4 linked regions of the Drosophila melanogaster genome follow. The protein of the gene in region 4 interacts with the protein of the main gene of each other region in a pairwise test. Each region holds a gene or a part of one and is shown on either strand. Other genes may lie near its edges. The genes, in order: Dora, CG13482, zld and CG13312.

The links.
Region 1: the proteins of CG13312 (region 4) and Dora interact in a two-hybrid assay, tested with the Drosophila melanogaster proteins (one large-scale study listed by BioGRID).
Region 2: the proteins of CG13312 (region 4) and CG13482 interact in a two-hybrid assay, tested with the Drosophila melanogaster proteins (one large-scale study listed by BioGRID).
Region 3: the proteins of CG13312 (region 4) and zld interact in a two-hybrid assay, tested with the Drosophila melanogaster proteins (one large-scale study listed by BioGRID).

What each region holds. Positions count from the first base shown.
Region 1 is NC_004354.4:18,861,655-18,867,838, forward strand, and holds the start of Dora (dorado), read left to right. Parts: upstream 1-2,295; 5' UTR 2,296-3,785; coding exon 3,786-4,065; intron 4,066-6,184. Other genes in the region: CG7326 (uncharacterized protein), read right to left, coding at 580-2,028. UniProt on the Drosophila melanogaster protein: Substrate recognition component of a SCF-like E3 ubiquitin-protein ligase complex that promotes target-directed microRNA degradation (TDMD), a process that mediates degradation of microRNAs (miRNAs).
Region 2 is NT_037436.4:14,327,235-14,331,129, reverse strand, and holds CG13482 (uncharacterized protein), read right to left. Parts: upstream 1,785-3,895; 5' UTR 1,694-1,784; coding exon 1,385-1,693; 3' UTR 1,245-1,384; downstream 1-1,244.
Region 3 is NC_004354.4:19,780,183-19,786,037, reverse strand, and holds the start of zld (zelda), read left to right. Parts: upstream 1-2,489; 5' UTR 2,490-3,184; exon of another isoform or gene 3,185-3,529; 5' UTR 3,530-3,751; coding exon 3,752-5,855. UniProt on the Drosophila melanogaster protein: Transcription factor required for zygotic genome activation (ZGA), a critical event in early embryonic development during which the developmental control passes from maternally provided mRNAs to the expression of the zygotic genome after fertilization.
Region 4 is NT_037436.4:8,804,547-8,809,358, reverse strand, and holds CG13312 (uncharacterized protein), read left to right. Parts: upstream 1-2,145; 5' UTR 2,146-2,160; coding exon 2,161-2,601; intron 2,602-2,943; coding exon 2,944-3,531; 3' UTR 3,532-3,548; downstream 3,549-4,812. Other genes in the region: CG13308 (uncharacterized protein), read right to left, coding at 52-208, 271-815; CG32024 (uncharacterized protein), read right to left, coding at 1,041-1,167, 1,232-1,734; CG34427 (uncharacterized protein), read right to left, coding at 3,587-3,713, 3,780-4,314, 4,375-4,480, 4,539-4,580.

The sequences.
Region 1 (6,184 bases), on a different chromosome or scaffold from region 4:
CTATTACTCTACTCTCATTTTTTTCTCGTTAACTTAAGTGAATTAATAGGGAACGTCAAAGTGTAAGCAAAAGCAAACAATCTTCTTACTTTTCTTCAAAACATGTGCAGTGCGTTTCGCAGCTGTAAGGCCAAGACATTGGCACTTACAGTCACGGAACGCACTGCATTTGTGCTAGTACATACATATATATAGAAGTCGTTTATCCAGCTAATACTTGTTGCAAAACGTTTGTTAAACTATATATAATATACATATATATATATAACGATCGAGTCAAGCAATAAAATCAAAATTTTCTTCACAAAACAATAAATAGTCTTTGGCGTTATCAATTCCGCGTACTGTTAATTCATTCTAAGCGAATGTATAACGATAAACAAAAGCAAAGGATGTGAGGATTTGAATCAAAGGCATAGTAAAGTATTTTGGATGGAATTGATTATCAATCAAGGGCTAACTTTAAAAAAAAAATATCTTTGACAAATTATTGGGCCAAGTCCGTCTTTGTATAGTGAAAACAAGTAACATAGTTTCCGACATACAAGCTATGCTTGATTTTTGAATCGGATTGGGTCACTACTTGTCCTCCGGCGAGGCGGAGGTGGCCATTTTGGCGAAAGACCGCGGCGGAGTGGGGCTGCGTTTCTGCAGGGTACGCATGCCGAGCGAGTAAGCCGCCGTGTCCCCCGAAGCGGTGTCCGTATCCGAGTACTCGTCATCGCTCTCGCTGGCATGTCCTGCATCCGTCTCGTACGGATCCACCTCCTTCTGATACACGTTGCTCATTTGATCCGTAAACACATCCGAAGCGACGACCCCGCCGTCGTGTTGATCCTCGTTCTCATAAAAGAAGTACGACAACTGCAGGTGCTCCTCCGCACAGTTCGTGCTCAAGGCGTCCGGAATCAAGTGGCCATTCGTCTCGAGGCGCTTCTGAATCTTTAGGAACATGTTCGGTGATACATCCATTTGGGGCAGCGTCTGCTGCGCCTGCCACTTCTCCAGCAGCGGCGGATTGGCTCCAAAAACGCCGTAGTACAGCTTGCAGGCGCGAAAGCAGCGTAGTCGGTTCGAATTTGGGCGAATGCGACGCAGCACACGCAGCTGTGACTCCACCACGTGCAAAAACATGTATTGCTGATTTCGGTTGGGCAGCGAGGTGACCAGCACCGCACGACTGGTGTTCAAACAGAGCTGAGGCAACGGTTGAGGCCACAGCGAGTGCAGCAGACGCTTGAAAAGCTGCGTTAGCGTGGAGTTTTGGAAGAAGTGGCGATCGGGGGCATTTGTCGCCGCTCCTGCGGGACGCCAACGTACTGCATCAGCCCAGATGCGAGCGGCGGCGCCATCGAACATGGTCAGCCCCAAATAACGCATGCAGCGCTGGCAGTACAAGTGATCGTCGCGATTGAGCATGCACGAACTTTCTTCGTTAAAGTTGATGACCACATAGTTGAGGCCATAGAAAAGATCCGTTTCGGCGGGCACTAAGCTAATTGGTTGGGTCTTGCCCGCTGGTCCATGATTGTGGCAAAAGAACTCAGTGGGATCCACCAAGAGGCTGGGAAACTCCCTCAACCTGCGATAGCTTCGGCCTGCCACCAATTCCGCTCGGCAATCACGACAGTTGATAGTGATGGGCTCGTTCTCCTGGCAGGAGAGGAGTAGTGGCGCCAGAGGCACGTCCACAGCGCTTCCATCCACGCTGGCCAGATCAATCTGGTTGTAGTTGAAGCGGAAACTGATGTTCCTGCCACTGACCAAGAACGTGGACAGGCAGACAATGTCCATACCATACTGCGCGTGCCGGATGAGCATCAGCTTGTCGGAGTCCTCGCTGTCGCTTTCGGAGCTGGAATCCAAGTCGATTGCCTGATTCTTAGGTTTCTCGCTGATATAAACATTGTAGTCGCGGACGACGACGCGAGTCTTCTGGCTCTGCGAAACCTGTTGGTCGAATCGCAGGAAGACCACGCCGCTGCGTAGGTTCGGGCGCAGTTCGATGCACAGCCCGGCGATGGGCATCTTGACCAGTTCCTGGGAAAGCGCGAGAAGATTGTGAACACCACCAACAAAATGGGCCTATCGTTACTTATGGTTTTTCGATATTAAGAGCGTCACTCGACAAAAACTATCGATTGTCAAGAATGAATGTCAGTGTGACCGTCATTTGAAAACTGGGAAATCGTACGCGGAAAACCGATACTATTGACCTTATCGAATATTCAGCCGAAAATGATCGAAAACCCATATCGAGTGTGTGAGCACTATCGCTGACCACTAACACCAACAACGTTTAGGAGCAAAAGAGTCGACGATGCGATGGGTAAAAACAAAGCCCCGTGTAAAAGTGTCCGAAAACCGTGCGTAGCATCAAACAAATCGTAACTCGGCCAGCGAATCTAGGTGCCGTTGTTTTCGGGGACGCGTGTGCAGTGCCGTTTTAAGTGTCGGTAATCGCCAAAATCCACAAAAAATTTAAGGATTTTTTAAAAAAACGTTCGCTAAACGCATTTCGTTCGTTCACTCACACACACACGTAAACCTAACACACGCACAGACGCAGACAAACACAACGCGCAGCGCATATACACACACAAAGAAAAGAAGGCAGTGAAAATCGACAAGCGCACGCATGCACACACACACTGACAAGCACGCAGGCGAAAAAGTGTTGATATATATCCAATATATTGATGTTGTGTGCAACGTTGTTGTTGCTGCTGCTACTGCTGTGTGAGTGAGTGAGGGCGAGCGAGAAAGAGTGAGTGCGGTGCGCGCAGGATAAAGCGAAGATGAGCCACAAAGCGAAGGAGTGAAAAAATAATTAACGGCAAAGCGGACTGCAAAGCGCAGAGCGGATAAAAGAGGAGCGTTAACAACAATAACAACGACTGGGGGTCCCCTGCAAAATCAACAACAACAGCAAGAACCACATCAACAATAATAACAGAAGCAAGAACATCAACAACAAGAACTACAACTACAAATTGGCCCTCTTATTTCGGCAGTCGCATAGCATAGCCCCATCTCGCTCTCTCGTTCGTTGGGGGATACGAAAAAGTTCACATGCAACAACAACGACAACAAACAATAGCAGTCGCAGTCGACGCGGGCAGAGGCAGCGACAGAGACCGCGGCGCACTGAACGTATTTTGTACATATAAACAAAAATAGTTTTTAAACTCCCCAAAATCTAAATCTAAACCTAAAGTTAAGTCTAAAAGGGAAACTTAGAGCCCTAAGCATAAATCTACAGTTAATAAGTTAATTAAAAGCAAGCGAGTCCGGCAGTGTGCTTGAGTTTGAAAGGGGAGAACCGAAGGAGAGGAACACAGCGAGAGAGAAAAGAGGAAGAGAAGAACGCTCAAGAGAAATTCGCCTTTTACACGATTTTAAATTGAGCGTTTGGCAGAGATCCATTATACATATACATCCATCCAAAAAGAGAGGAGAGTAACAGTGAGAGAGACGGAGGAAGAGGAAGCTGAGGAAAACAAACAAACGGGGGAGCAGCTGAAGAAGAAGAACAAGAATCAGCTTCAGCAGTAGAAGGAGCAACTGTAAACACACACAATCTCAGCCTCACGCTGGCGAATCGCAACGGCGGCAACAACAACAGAGGAGGAGGAGGCGGCGGTAACAACAACAACAATGGAGGAGGCGGAGGAGCGGCTGCAGTCGGCGCTGGCGCCGAAGGAGCAGCAGGAGGCGGCGCAGGAGCCGGAGCGGCGGGCAGAGACGCTGCAGGAGCAGCGGCCAACGAATGGAATCCGGAGGAAATGGACCGCTTCAGCTTCGACGACTCCATCCGCTTCGAGGAAGACTCCCTCTGCAGCTGGAGCTCTGAACCGGAATCGCTGTGCAACAACTGGCGCGGCTGGAAGAAGCCCGCTGCAGGCAGCGGCGCAGGCAATGGCGGCTTGAGCGGCATGGGCGGTATGGCTGTGGCCGGCGGCTCAGGAGCACCGCCGTTCGGAGGAGCAGGAGCCTCTGGTTCCTGCACACCGGGCGGCAATGGAACGGCCATGGCCAACACATCCACCTGCGGCAGACATTATGGTGAGTAGCATCTCCTTGTTGCTAGGGCGGGATTTAGGGCAGTGTACCCGGACCATTGAGCATTACACCAGTGAAACTACAGTTGTGAAAATCACAGATACAAATCTAAACTGAAGAGAGCTTCTTAAAATCCGAAAAACATTGTACAACATTGACAGTTTTTAGAGTTCGAAAAGTGTGCGTCCTAAAGATATCAAAAAAGTATCCTCTTTTATTCAGGAATTAAGAAAGACTTTCTCATAAGAAGCTTTCATATGTCGCATACAAAAGATATTGACTTCCTTAATTGTTTTTAAAACCATAAGGCAACCAAAATAGTTTATACCTATAACTTTCCCTTTACAATGAGAAACTTACATGTACATTTTATACAGATTTATATCCGTATAGCGTTAAATAATCAATTACTTGCTACACAATTTACTTTTTAAGCTAAGTAGAGTGATATGCTTTAGTTCTATGTTTTACTAGCTTGGTCGCATTTGGCTATTTGCAATATGGCTACACTGTGCTGCCTGTAATTATACGCATGACCTTTTCGCTTTTGGTAAATTCTGTAAAATTGACTTAGGCACAACAACGAGCAGGCTGTAATTGTTGTTGCCCTCTGTCTGCAATTGTCTTCTTCGTTTCCCCGCATTTCCTCGAAGTCCTCTGCTTATCGCTGAAGTCAAAATCACGACTTTGGCTGCCAACGTTTTTTATTTTCATTCGTTTATACGAGTTTCCTTTTTACCTTTTTGTTGCGTCCCTTTGTCTTTCCCTGTGGCTCATTACGCTTGTGCATGTGGCTGGGGTATTGTTTTTTTTTTTTGTTTCGGGCCTGCCAAGAGACGTTCCTTACACGTTTTCTGTATCCTGTGCGCCGCCGCACAGCACTATCATCATGTAATATCTGGATATCTGGCTGCGACTGCGCAGTTCGTCCTCGTCGCTGTTTCTCTTTCGTATCCTCCATTCGTCTTCGTCATTTGCCCATCCACTGCATTCGTTTGCTTATTTTCCTTTGTTTGACTGAGCAGTGTTGCTGTGGGGGGAAACAGGACTATATTTGGAAGGGTCAAAGGACTAAACAGAGCGGCAAAGCCGCCAAAGAACCTCCAACCATTCAGTTGTCTTCTTTGTGGATTCTTTGATAGCCAGGGTTACCAGCTTGTTGATTTTATTGATATTTATTGATACTAAGCACTAGTATTACAAAATATAGTATATGTACTAGGCAAAACTAGCTGAACTTTGCTCAATCTTAATCATTTTTATCTTTCTGTTATGTTATACAAATCTTTTACTTCCTATAAACAGAGGAGTTAGCCAAATATCTATTTGTTCATATGCTGTTGGTTTGTAAACCTAAAGGACCAATAGATAGTAGCTTAAGCTATTCGATTTTGGCGGGAAAATAGCCAAAGAGCTAGCCCTGCGACTGGGTTTGTGTGTGTGTAGTGGCGAAGCCAGCTGCATTTTCATGCTCGAAAGACATAATAACCGCATCAAAAAACTATATTGCCTCAAAACGATGTCGCTGCTGCCAGCTGAACACGCTGACGTCGACTTCGACGTCGATGCTGAGGCGACGAGAGCCTCGCTTTGTTGTGTCAAAGAACCTTTTCAAGGATACCACCACAACCTGCCCAAGGGGATGTAATAAAAATAAAGACGAGGACGACGACGACGACGACACGGAGGAGAGTCCATTATTCCCATCGCACCTTGTAGCTCCTCCGCCCCGTTTGCTGTGGCTCCCCAGATATGGTAGTTCTTCAGATAGTTGAAACGGAAGAAGCCCATTGATTTGATCCACAATTGTCAACGGCTTCTGATGCGATTGAAGGCTTATGTATATACATCATAAGAATTCTGTGCGTTCGAGCATTTAACATGCCATAATTGAAATGTTTTAAGCCAAGCTATGGTGCGCAACCAGGGGGTTCTATTTATTTTTAACTAGCATCTTACTTACTTAATTTGAAGGCATGATTTACCATTAAACAGAACATTGGAAAACGAACATCAGTTAACGCAAGTTGCATTTGTCTGAATGTAAGGTTTGGTGACCTCAATCGATAATTATACTGATAAATTCCTTGTCCGTTGTGTGTAAAAGCCAAATGGAAATGGC
Region 2 (3,895 bases), 5.5 Mb from region 4:
AAGAGAGTGCTCGAGTGTCACTTACTGCTACCAATTCCATTAGCGCGACATGTCAATGAGAGAGCTATAGTATACGACAAGGTATCCTAAAAACAATTTGGGGTATGTACATTAGCTAAACACTCCATATTCTATTTAATATTTAACATTGAAGGAATTTGTTTAAAGTTGTTGAGAAAAAAGCTTTTGAAACATTTTAAAATTACTAAATAACTTAAATCTTAATTTTTTTAAGTTTATTCTTCAGCTATGGTATTTTCCTACCACTTAATCATTTTCCTTATTTTTCCAGCTCTTCAGTTTTAACTAAGTTATTTAAATCACACTATCATTTTAATCATTAGATCACTTAAATCTTAATTTTTATAAGTTTATTCTTCAGCTTCTAAATTATGTGTAGGGTATTTTCCTACCACCAAATCATTTTCCTTATTTTTCCTGTTTTTTTAGTTTTTACCTTTGGGGCGTTTCGGCGTCTGTCGCTTGACTTAATGGCAACATGTTTTACAACATTATTAGACAGGCCAAAATGGAAGCGGTTTTTTCGGATTTCTGGTCGACAACTGGCAAATTTTAATTACCAATATTTTCCAGGTGTCGATACCCATACGACCTACGCCGGGGGCAGCATTTTATATTTTATGACAGGCCACATAACCCACAGACAAATATATACGGGTATTGAGAGACCCACTCTATATGGTAGCTGCTGTCTAATTAGCGTTTTGTGACAACCGCAGAAAAATAAAAGCGTTTCGAAATGGGTTTGTAATTGGCAAACATTTTGTTTGACCCACCCGAAGCGAATCTAAGCCGTACTAAAATTATATTTAATTTCATTTGTATTTATCGGCTTACAAACTTGTTTTCGTGGGTGGTCTTGTTTTGTGTTTGTGGTTGCCAATAATCTTCTTATTGGATTAGAATTTCTTGAATTATTAAGTTTTAAAATTATTCTTGATTCCTTTGGCTTTAAAATCAGCTTTATATGTATAGAGAATCGTTCAATTACGTTTTGGTGAAATCTTTGCGTCATGTCAATCAAGATAAGATTAGTTGTTATTTTATACTTTATCGTATGGACATTTGTTAACTAAGTGCGCAGTACACGTATTTTTGGAATGCAGAAATCCATTACGAGTACATACATATATAAAAAATTCTACATGAATTATCATCGTACTTCTTAATTTATTTATTTTTACTTTCCCCAAGGAAACTAGCATTCAAAAATGTCTTTGTATAAGTCTAAGTGGTTTTAATGATTTTTTTGGTTTTGTTTTTTGTACACTTTATGTAATAAATTAAATTCGCTTATAAACACTTTCATTATTTCGCCACCTGATGGCTGTGGTTTTTAAGACCTTCCTTCCATTCCATTGTACTAGCAGTGATGATGATGATGTCCATGGTGAGGACCATGATGATGGTCAAAGTGGCTGCCGTGGTGATGATGATGATGATCGTAGTGGGGCGGCGGTGGCGGAGGTCCGTAGTGGTGGTGGTGGTGCGGCGGGGGTCCGTGGTGGTGCATTGGAGGTCCGTGGTGGTGATGGTGGTGCACCGGAGGCGGTGGGTGATAGTGGTGCACCGGAGGCGGTGGATGATGGTGGTGGTGATGATGTCCACCTCCACCCAAATTCAGGCCAAGGTGGATTCCAAACAGGCGATTTTCGTGATGTGGCGGCGACATTTTGAATGTTTTACTTTTTTTAATCCTTATCAAACTGATATATTCCTTTCGAAAACTGCTCTCGTTGCTTGTTGAATGCTAACTGCCTTTCCATCCGCTGATATGACCAGTTTATATACACATCCCACTTGAACAGCTTGACAATTCAGATAGTATTATTGTTGTGCTGCTTTATCTTATCGAAGGGGGTGTGTATTCGACTGACTCACTGGGGATTCACTTCGATTCTATTGCTAATACTCAAAGTGGGCTATAAAGATAGCAATGTTTTTGTGCAATCATGGATCGGGAATTACTCACCGGACTAATTCATAACATTTAAGCGCTTTTATTCTTTTCATTCTTAACGAATGTAATGACAGTAATAGTAATAGCAGATGTAAGAAAAAACAAAAAGTATTTCGCAGACAAAACATCAATTTGATATTGCAAAAAAAAGGATGCTGACAAATAGATATGTAAAAGGTAAAATAAAACTTTAAGACCCCGCCAACAATAATTTCCGCCTTGTTTGCCAGACGTAGTCCTAAACAAAAAATAAGAAAATACAGTACGAAAGAAGAAAAGCGAGGAAAACCAAAAAGGCACTAAAGACACCCAACACAAGCACAGAGAAAGTGCGAGCAGGAAGGCAATAACCAGAAAGCTTTTGCATGAAGATTGGCATGGGTGGAGGTGTTTATATACCCCCTTTCGACCATTTCAATAAAAAAAATTGCACAGAAAGAAACAATCTCTTGATATAATTTCTTCTTATCAACACTTGCATAATATTTTCGTCTTTAGCTTGACAATCTTATCAGTGTATTGAGTATGAGTTATTTACCATGAAGAGGATATCTCTCAAAATAGGTACATGATTTTAGGGATTCCCTGTAAACTAATGTTAACTTTTCATAATGTTGCTAAAATAAAGTAGCTTTTTTAACTGATCTTATTAATAGAATATTTGATATTTACTGTAAGACTAGAGCCTGCGTACTGATGTAATATAATTTTGAGCCGAGTTATTAAAAACCAATGATTTTCTCAGTGCACCACACAACTCCACATGAAGGCGACTTCAGTGCGTGACAATAACTTTTGCCTTTGAGCCGCCTTAATGGCATGGGAAGGATGACTTTTGGGGGTGTTGGAATTAAGGGATGAGGGGCCACGGGCTGCGGACGACTCTGATAAACTGCGTTAGAAGTTATAAAGCGATTAGAGTGTGTCTGGAGTGCGTCTTGGGAGCAAAAGAGTGGGGTAGACAGAGCGGGCTAAGAGAAGGAAACAACTTTATGCTGTATCAATTTAATGCTTATTTAAAGTGCGACCAGAGGTTTTGTCCTCCTGCAGTTCAGGGAGCTAAAACGATATAGGAAATGAGTAAAAAAGAAGCTGGAAAGTAGGGGGAAAGCAAATAGAAGGGGGCAATGCAGGTAATACATAAATTTGATTTTATGGAGTTGCTTTTCAAAGAACTTCTGCAAAAGTTTGGTAATACATTTTATTAGCTTTGTAAAGAAATCTTTTGGTGGTAGATAAGGCAACCTTGGAGGAAAATAAGAAGAAAAGGATATTTGAGAAAGTTTTAGAAAAAAACTTCGAAGTTTATTAATGAAATTGGAACAATAAATTGAATTTATTGGCAACTTATTATAAACTCATAATAAATAGTAATTTACAAGAAACCTCAGGAAGTCTCAGAGATTTGCAATAAATCATAAGCAAATCATAATAAAATAACATGTCCTTCATACAAATTCATAAAATCTAATTTTATTCTGTAAAAAAAAAATACATTAGCACGGCCATAAAGCAGAGAATATCCCCTTAAAAACTCACTTTAGTGCTACCGTACCGAAAGCTTTTCAGACTTGATCATCTGGCTCATTTTCCCCCGCTGGTTTTGTTTACACATCCAATGAAAATTCCACTTTCAGTCTGGCACGTTTGGAAGGTTCCCCATGGGGAAGCGTTAGGCCACCCCATTCATATTAACCCCTTCTGCCGACGGCCACAATTATGGCCTTTAACCCCTTTGTCAACAACTTGAGTTTATTTGAGCTTTATGCGCACATGCTGAGTCTGATTTTTGGCCGAGTCCGAAATGCCTTTAAGCATTGTCCTCCGCTTTTCCCCCCACTACCACCATATATTCGCATCCCACGTTCCTCGTCACATAATAATTTTATGTGCTTTTTGGCTGCTGCATTTTTG
Region 3 (5,855 bases), on a different chromosome or scaffold from region 4:
TGATAATTAAGAAATGGTTAGTAGGCTTTTTTAACTAGGCTTAATACATTTTTTAATCACTAAATAAACTGTGCAATCAAAGAAATACAAAGAAAATGTACAGCAGATCGTCGAATAGTGACGATATACATAAGTGTATGAATGTATACTAAATATACTGAATAAAAATATATTTTTAACCAACAAATTGGTTTCATAGATATCTCCTAACGGAGTTTAACTATCCGTGAGATATGTACATACATATACATATGTGGAATATCAGATCTCGGGATTTGCAGCCGGTTTTCACTGCCAATCACTCAACTCGCCAATCGTTTTCTCCCTCCCTCGCATTGCCCCATCCTCCTCCTCCTCCTCCTTCTTCTTCGCCTTCTTCTCCACACTTCCACCCACATTCGTCGTCCGTCTCGCCCGCGTCTTCGTCTTCGTCGTTTGCTTTATTGTTTTATTGTCAGTTTAGGGATTTGACAATTTGCTTGCTGATTTTTTATGACAATCATGTATGTAAATTTCAGGCCTCTCTGTCGCACTCTTCTCCGCCGCCTCACTCTCGCCTTCTCTCGCTCCCTCCTCCGGCCCTACTCCAATCTAAACTCTTCCTCAAGGCCCCACGCACACAGCCGCACAGTGGAGTTCGTATCTGTGTGGCTGCGATGGAGGTACTCGTATCTGGGCTCCATTAGCCCTCGCCTTTTCTCTTACGAAATTTTTAAATACTTTTGGGCCATTCTCAGCTGAGCTTGATTCCCAGCTCCAGTTGCCCAGCAAAAAAAAAAAAAAAAAATAAAACCTAAAACAACTTGAAACCCCATAGTTACCAACAGATTCAAACCCTTTCTGTCGCTATTTATACCCCTTAATCGTAGATTGGAAAAAGCATACCCATTCGAAAGACGAAAGATCGCCTGCATCTTTGGAATATATATGTACATACATACTTATGCATACTTACTTACATGCTTAGTCTTCTTCTAGTCTTCTATTTAAAAAAGTTTCTCTAGTGAGCTTATGATCTTATGACAGAATCTGATAACAGGGTATCCGTTAGTCCTAGCTTACGATTTTTTCCTTTCTTTTTAAATGTAGATTAGCTTTCGTTGTCTCTCAGCTCTGCACTCCCGTATGCCCAACGCAATAAAAGTTTGGTTTATTAATTTTTTGAACGTTCTCAACTTTTACGAGGCCCGTGACGTCGATAATCGTCGGTTGCCGGTCGCTCAGAAACTAGGCTAGTAGTGCGAATTGGTTTTGGCCCGGTCCAGTGAGTCAACATCTGACTAAGACGCTTCGAGGAGTCTATTAATAAGCCGCCGTTCGTACCAAGGCTAAAAAAAAAAAAACGGGCACAACTGAGCAACCAAGCCTAGAACTGCAACACAGCTTTAAATTAGGCGAGTTGCGATATGGTAATCGGTGGATCACACAAAAGGGCCAACCAATCTTCGCTGTGTTCTTGAAAAATCCACATTATCGCCACTTAAGCTAAATTTTGCTATTACAATAGAGTACATAAACATTTATTTATATGGTAAGTTCTTCATAGCGTAGATGACTTCTACGAACTGCCAGAGTTTTAAGCTAGAGATCGGAATAAACATTTCGAAATCCAACCATCCTAAAGAAAACAATTTCATATAAAATTTTTAGTGCCTAGGGCGGCTTAAATATATGCAGTTCGCTGTATATATCCAGAAACGCAAATACAGCGAAATAATTTCATAAATAAACAGTGGAAAATCATTTTAACACGATCAAAGCTATTGATTTGCTGCTAGAAAGGCAATGCAGAAGTTGTGTATTATTACAAATACACTTTACAATTGCGATCCATCCAAATTCTACGGATTGTTAAGTGCAAAACCGGTTATCAATGACCTTACTTAAATTACTTTTTTATAACCGTTCAGCAATTTTCTGTGGAAAATTGTGATGGCTTGCAAAAAAGGATTCAAATTTGTGTGCATTATAAAACGTATGTATATATGTGTGCATTATAAAACATATGTATATATGTATATTAAACATCAGTTTTCACTAATAATGCCATTCAAGGCATAAAAATATAAGCATTCAAATTGCGACTAATCGTTTATGTACATGTCTTCGAGAGGATTTATTAGTTCGATCTAAACAGATTGCAAAACTTAGGTCTCAACTAATGCTAATTATGCATGGGATACTTTATCTTGATTCCGAGCTAACTTGTGGTACTCTCAATGCAAAGGGTATTGCAAAGTAAAGGCAGCGCAAAGCAAAGGCAAAACCAAAAGCAAAGCAAAATCAAATGCAGCGGCGTTGACGGCAGCCGTGCGCGACAGAGACAGCACGCACATAACCGAAACGCCGCCGCGCAGTGTATATAGCGCACACACACACACAGCCACGCATGTGCGTCGACTGCGACGCCGCAGCCACAGTCGCAGCCGGCGTCGCTGCCGGCAGAACGGGTAGAACGAATGTGCCGCATGCACGGCGGTGTATTTGTCGGTCATTTGTATTTGGAACGCCGTAGCAGACAGAAGGACACGGGTGAAAAAGCGACGAAGCGTGCGAACGGAGTGGAGCGGCTACTTTTAGCGCCCTTTTTTGTTTCATTTTCCCCACTCACAAAACGCAACATTTTTGGCAACAACTTTTCGGCAAACCAATTGAAAAACAAACTAAACGAACTAATCGCGGCTCGGGAATCAACAACAAATTTAATTCCGATGCAATACTTGTGTTCGTAAACAATTTTTTTCTGTTCGATCCGATCCCCGATAAACGATAAACGCGAATTCCAGTGATCTTTTGGAAAAGGGCGAAGCGAAAAGCGAACCCAAACCGAAAAACTCTAAATCACCGGTAAAAAAAAAAGTGGCGAGAGAGAGCAAGAAAGAGAGAGAGAGAGAGATAGGGAGAGTGTGATCACATCGCATCGCCATTCTCGCTTCCCTCGCAATTCGCAAAAACAAAATTCGAAATTCAAAATTGACCAGCATTCGTTGCGGTTCCGATATTGGTTTCTTCAGTTCAGTTCAGTTCAGTTTCGTATTATTTATCGAGTCTGCTGTTGTGTGTCTTTCGTTTCGCCGAAGAGGAGCGGTGAAAGAGAAGAAGGAGGAGGAGCGGAGCAGAAGAAGAAGGAGCGAAGCAGAAGTCCAAGTCCAACGAAGAAGTGCCCAAAGCGAGGCGCAGATAAGTAAGAAAAGCAAAAGAGAACGGAAAAGGGATCTTCATCGAGGATCCTTCATGTATATATTTTTTTCGAGTGTGTGTGTTAGTGTGCGTCGTGAGCGTCCATGTGTGCTCTCCACAAACAATTGCAGTTGACATTACGTTCGCAAGTAAAAGCTATTGTATTTCCACCATACAAATCAAATTACAAAAGTGCCTGCAATTTCGCATCGAAGTGAAATGGACACCAAGAACCGTTAGACACCAAAAGCTTTGAAAACACAGTGTGCATGTGTTTGTTTTTTTTCCGTTTGCAACTCAAGTAACTTCAAACTAATAATGGCTTAAACAATAATTGGCTTATTTTCAGTACAAATACAAAGCACAAAAAAACAAAAAATCACAAAAAAATAAAACGAAACGAGAGCATATAACATAAAAACCCAAAACAAAAACGATCGGCTCAGCAGAGCCAACGAAAAGCAAGCAGCGTAGCAGCAGGAGCAGAGGATGCACCACTGATCCCGGAGAGCTCGAGACATGAGAAGCGAAACACCGAGCAGCCACCAAGCATCGACTTATGTAGCGGTCCATGACGAGCATTAAGACCGAGATGCCGCCCCTGCACGCGGCAGAGGCGCTCGCCTCCAGCAGTGCTACAGACAGTGGTGGGGGAGGAGCAGGAGGAGGAGGAGGAGGAGGTGGAGGAGGATCGGGCGGACCAGGAGCGGGAGGAACGGGAGGCGTAGGCAGTGCGCCCGCCACACCCAATGCCACAATTAGCGCCGCCGCCGACTCCAGTGATAATCAACCCGGCACGCCGCAGCCCACGCAACAGCAGCAATCGACGCAGCAACAGTTGCAGCAGCCACAATCGCAACAGCAGCAGCAGCAGGCCATGGGTGGAGGAGATCCCCAGCAGCAGCAACAGCAGCAGCAGGTAACGGGTATCACCCACCAGCCGTACGCCACCCACCACATGTACTCCGCATCTGGCGGACAGCAGCAACAACAGCAGCAGATCTACGGCGGACTCTACGGCGGGGACATGCAGCAGCAGCAGGGTTACGCCAGCAGCTACATCAACAGCTACGAGCAGTTCTACCAGCAGCAACAGCAGCAGCAGCAGGGCACTGATTACGCCTTTGGCACCGTGGGCGTTGACTATGGCAAGAGCGCCGGTGTTCGCTATCATCCCTACCTGCAGACGCCAACCTCCGGACTGGGAGGCATTCCAACGGCCAGCTCGGCACAGGAGGAGGCGGGCAGTGCGCCCAGCGCGGTCAGCACCACCACAGCGGTGGCCATGAGTCCGCGTGTGGTTAGCAGCAGCAGTCCAACGTCGACGTCCTCGCACCTGCAGCTGGGCAGCTCCAGTGGCCAGACACCAGGCTCACCAGGCGGAGCCGCCGGAAGTGCCGGATGCAAGTTGCAGTGCAAGAAGTGCGGCATCCTCACCACCAACGAGTCGGAGCTACAGGAGCACATCGCCAACGTGCACGGAGAGTCGCCGTACGGCAGCAGCGGTTACGCCAGTTCACCGTACATCAAGGAGGAGATGCCCACACCACAGCCACCCGGCGTTGGATCCGCAACGGCCAATCCCGGCGAATTACTCGACCTAGATTCCCAGAAGATGGTCTATCACCAGCAGCTGCTCCAGCAGCAACAACAGCAACACGACGTGGTCGCTGGACTGCCGCTGGGCGCTCTGCCGGATCCGCTGCACTCGATGCAATCTATGCAGCAGCGCGCACTCCACAGCTGGGAGCAGCAGCCACAGCAGACGGTGGCCTCCGTGGAGGGCCTGCCACCCTACATGCAGCAGGGATTGGGCGTGGGGCTGGGAGTCGGTGTGGACAAGTCGCCCTACTACTCACCAAAGCAGTCACCCTATCATCAGTCAACCGGCGTTGGCGGAGCCACGCTGATCAAGCAGGAGTACGGCGGCCACGGACTGATCAAGTCCGAGTATCCCGATTCGCAGCATTACGTGGACAAGTCCTTCGATCCCACAGCTGGCGGAGCTGGTGGCGCGGAACTGTGCGCCAGCGTGGCCACCAGTCCGGCGGAGTTCCCCAGCACCACTACGGGCGGACCAGGGCAGGAGGGAGCGGCGGGTGCGGCGCCAGGAGGTGGATACCGCGGTTTCGAGCCACCCAGCTCGAGCTCCGTGCTGCCGGCCAACAGCCTGACGGCCAAGGCGGCCACCTGGAAGTCGAACGAGGCGCGCCGTCCGAAAACGTACAACTGCACGGCCTGCAACAAGTGGTTCACCAGCTCGGGCCATCTTAAGCGCCACTACAATACGACGCTGCACAAGAATGCGGTTAAGTCGAGCGGCCAGCCGGATCCAGCCACCCTGCCCATCTCGGCGCACCACCATCCCGCCCGCGACCCGGTGACGAAGCCCAGTCGCAGGGGCAATGCCGCAGCCGCTGCGGCCGCCGCTGCAGCTGCCGCCTCGGCCAGCGGTCAGGGTCAGCAGCAACAGCCGCCGATACCGCCGCCGCCGGCCAATGTGCCACCCCCGGAGCCGCCTAGAAGTCCGCCCGATTATGGCGGAGGAGGCGGCTTGGGCGTGGGAGCGATGGGCGGCGCTGCCATGTCCCAGTACTCGGCCTCACCCTCGCCCACACAGCAGCAGCAGCACCACCTCAACCACCATCAGCAGCAGGCCAACGGCTATGCTAATG
Region 4 (4,812 bases):
TCAACGCTCCCAAAATCTTTAGACTATATGATTGTTTTTTTTTATGAATTTTTATGTGATGGTAAGTGTCAAGCTGGTAATTCCATTAGTGCACCTGGCTGGCACTTCGGTGCCACAATACCCCGATGAGCTATTGAAGTAAGTTTGTCCAGGACAATAGTAGAGGCCTCCTGCCCAGTTAGTTGCATTGAGATAACAATATATGTACCTTATTATGAAATAAGCGGTTTAATTTTTTATATACGAGATAATTGAACTCCTAATATTTACTGTCTGCAGGTTGTGTTGAGATCAATGCCGTAGGGAAATCTTCCGTGCTGCTGGACGATGGAACAATAGGTGGTGGGTGTCGTTGACGTAACATCCAGTCCAGTACCACTACCGTCACCCGGACAAGTGGCCTGTGATCCTGCCGCTGGACTACCACAAATATACGGATTATTAAAATCACATACATAGCTCGAGCCACAACTTCCGACGATCTGGGAAGGAGTCGATGTTCCCAGGCACAGGGCAAATGTCCTTGCAGTGAGGCAGGCAAATGTATTGCCACTATCGCAGGTGCCACAACCTATACAGGATCTTTGGGCCACGTCTGTATTGCACGTTACGTCATTTGCGGTGCAATAATAACCCGTGGGACACGTGTAAACGGGACCAGCAGGTAATGCGCTGCTGGAGCAGAATTGAAATGAGGTGTTCGATATACAGGCCACATTGCTAACGGAGGCACACACATTGCAATCCCCACGGATACCGAGAATACGGATCACCAGGAAAACTCCGATTGCCAGCAAGATCAAGCAGCGCAGCATCTTTACAATAAACTAGCGATATTGGTGTCAACCAGTTGGCTTTATGCGCTCGCAGTAATCTTATCACTCGGAGAAACTAGAACTTCCAACAAAGAGTTATTACCAGATTGTTGACGAACTAATAAAGTCAATGTGTCCAATGATATAAAGCGGTTCTTATACTCTATTCAAATTATGCAGTATGTAAATATATTTATATTACAAGATTTCTTTTATAACAATGAACTAGGCACATGTTGCCGGTTTAGTCGCTACACAAGTAGAAGTGCTGGCACTGAAGTATGGTTTACTTGAAGGACACTGCCAGGAATTTCCGGACCAGGTGGAACTCTTGCGAAAACAGTAAATATATCTAAAAACAAGATTGATTAAAAATGAAGATGCACTCATATTAATATACAATATAAACAACTCACTTTAGGCAGCTTAAATCATTGGGATAAGGAAAGCGACCCGTGGAGCTCTTTTGGATACACAAATCATCGATTAAAGCATACTGGGAACACGAGGCACTTGTGCCGTTTGGTGAGGCCACACAAGGATTGCCAATTTGGTATAGACACACCTCTCCTGTCGAACAGGGATATTCATTGCTTGCAATTTCATTCACAGCATTGCAAAGTGCAAAAGTTGTTGGACTAGTACAGGCGAATGGTATAATTCCGTCACACTTTCTGCAATCATTGCAGGATGCAAAAGCCTCGTTGGAAGTGCATTTCTCTGGCAATCCCGTACAAAATGTATTATTTGGACATGTATACACGGTACCTGTAGGAATAGCGTTTGCCGAGCAGTTTTGGTACTGATTCTTGGACACGCAGGCTACATTGCTCTCAGAGGAACAGATATTGCACTCGGCCTGGCTAAATTTCACTAGAGTGGCCAACAAAAATACTGAAAAGAGCAGGTGCCGTTGCATTTTCAAGAGTAACTGCATGTATATTCAAACTTTACAAACTATATAGGCAACTTTCTTATCCAGAAAGCTATTTAAGATAAGGCTATTTGAGTAGTAAAAAAGCTAGTGATATCTATTTATCCTTGTCGCCTAACAGGTTTCATACATATTCAGTTTTATATATCGCTATTATATTACTATGTAAACATACAACAAAAATAACCCAATAAAAATTCGCCAACACCAAAAAGTATGCTACCCTTTTCAGTCCGTCAAAGCAGCAAGAGCTTATCTAAATTGGAGCAGTAGCCAAGGTCCCGCCTGCCGAGGTCTTTGTGGATTAAGAGCAATCTGCATGCTCCAAAATAGCTGCCAAAAAAGCGCTCTATTTAAGCCACATGCCTGCCAGGCACAGACATCAGTCGGAAAAAACAATTGCAACCCGAAATGTCGCCTAACCGTGTTTGCTTGCCACTTGGCCTGCCGCTGTTGCTTTTCCTGCTCGGTTGCCTTGTGTCCTCGACTCATGGCACCTGCAACGTCTGCAACACCGTCAACAATCTGACCTGCTACTCCTCGACCCAGATGCAGTCCTGCCAGGTGGACGTCCTGTCCACGGCCACGCCCACCGATTGCCCCAGCGGCTATGTCTGCGTCAGCGGCTCCAGCGGTGTGCTCTGCCAGCCGGAGGACTCGGCATCTGACAGTCAGGCGGACTGCCAGGAGTGCAACAAGTGCGATGAGACCCAGACGTTCGCCTGCACCGGAACCCAGAGCTTCGCCCTCTGCCTGGGCACAGATACCGTCCAGGATTCGGTGGGCACCTGTGCCTCCGGTTATGTGTGCAACATCAACGACACCCAGATATGCGGTCTGCCAGCGGATGGGGTAAGTTCGCCTTTCTTCTTCTTGGTGGAAATGGGATGTTTGAGAAAGAACAGGTGCTCCAGGATGCTGAGACGACTCTGAAAGGAAATTAAACTTTCAAGAAGCACTATTCATTAGAATGTGATACCAAGTGACTGGAGAAAATAAGCTCTTTGTATGCAATTTGAAGTGTTTCGTTAAAGCTTGAATTATTATAATTGATTTTGAGGAAACCAAGGTGTTTTTAGGAAATTTACTTGTATGTCTAATAGGACAAAGAAAAACGCTGTTCATTCCGTGACAGAATATGTATATTCCTTTCCTCTGGCCCACAATAAATAATAAATCTACATAACTCTGCAGGTGATGCCGACCTGTTCGTATAGCGATGACTCAACCACAACCACGGTGAGCAGCACCACCAGCTCCACCACAGCGGCACCACCTTCCACCAGCTCGGCATCCACTTACTGTGCGGCGGTTCAGTCGCAGGGAAAATACGCGGTCGGATATAACGCGTATACGACCTGTCGCCAGTATATCTACTGCACTTTGGTTGACGGAAGTTGGATTGGCCAGACCTACACTTGTCCGGGATCCATGTACTTCGATAGTGCCTCCGAGATGTGTGTGTCCACCATGCCATCCACCTGTTCCACAACTGCAACAACGAGTTCCACGACGACTGCGGCACCCACGACCAGTAATCCGGAGGCATATTGCCAGGCGATGCAGTCGGCGGGCTACTACCCGGTGGGTACGGATGCCAGCACCACGTGTCATCAGTACATCGACTGTTTTCTGAACGGAGGCACTTGGGGTGGCAATATGTACACATGTCCCGGTAGCCTCTACTACAACAGTGCCAGCAGAACATGTGTCTCCACCTTACCATCCACATGCTCCACCACAGTGGCCAGTTTAACCCTCAATGGAGTGGTTTTAGATTAAAAAAGGAATCTCTATGCAAAGAGTATTTGACGGTTTATTTATAATGAGCTGAACATTAAAGACAGTAGCCGGGATTTACGTAGACGCAACTCTGAGTTTGAGCAACAAACCAGGAATCTGTGGGACAGTTATATTCGGCAGATTTGATAAGAACGTTCTTTTGAAAGTAACAACTAATGTAGCTGTAAAGATAAGTGGTTAAATTAAATGAGTGATGTGGAAAATTTTACGCAAAATTCTGTACGCACCGCTGGCAATAGGGATCCGCAGGAATGACGGGAAAAAGACCAGTGGCATTCCTTTGGGCACACATCTGGGCAGGAGTTAGAGGCGTCACTGTAGTGGGCGTCTCGGTGGTTACAGTTGAATCGGTGCTGCTTTCAGTTGTGCTCTCAGTGCTACTTTCAGTGGTACCGCCAGTAGTTTCGGTGGTCACGGACGCTGCAGTGGTGGTGTCCACCAGTTCGTCATTTATGTCACAGGTCAGCGTTTGACCCGCGACCTCAGGCACACAAATCGCAGTGCTGCTGGCATCACAAACCGTACCCGTGGGGCAGTAACCAAATTGCCCAGTGGGTCTAGTGGCTCCATAGCACATCTGAAAGATACCACGACTCTGGCACGCGAATAGATAATTCCGATTGGCACTACATTGGCCACATTGAGAGGTATCCCCGCAACTGGGAGGCCGCTGGCTGCTCTTCTGAACACAAATCGCCGTGAGATTGGTGCAGTCAAATCCTTCTAAGCAATGGTATAGCTGATCACGATGTGGAGTTCCATCTGAAAAATCACTATAAGTCAATAAAAACCCTTTTAAAATTATATTCCGCAATTAATTACCTCCAAAACACAAGTAAAAGGACGTGGAGTTGATGCAGGCCACTTGATTTGATTGACAGACATTGCAATCGGACACCGTTTGTGCCACCATAAAAGCCAGAACCACCTGTAAAATATTTTTGCTCTTCACTTTTCCTCTTGGTATACCACAAAAGCGTTATTACCATCACTAGTCCTTTCACTACATTTTCAATCCTTTGGGTCATTTTTGGACTTCCGAACTGCTACTGCTCACTGTCAAGGTACTGTTGGTACTAAAAGTTTGCTTATGTTAGCTACATGTCTAGTCTACTTTGTTTATCTACTCTTTACTTTTCTCTGCTAATTGTTTTATTTGACTTGGCTTTCCACATGATTGCTGTTTCGTGGTGTATCATCCTATGATGGGAATGTTTCCAGAGATTCTGATTGATATGTGTGGGTGCGGACATGGAGCAT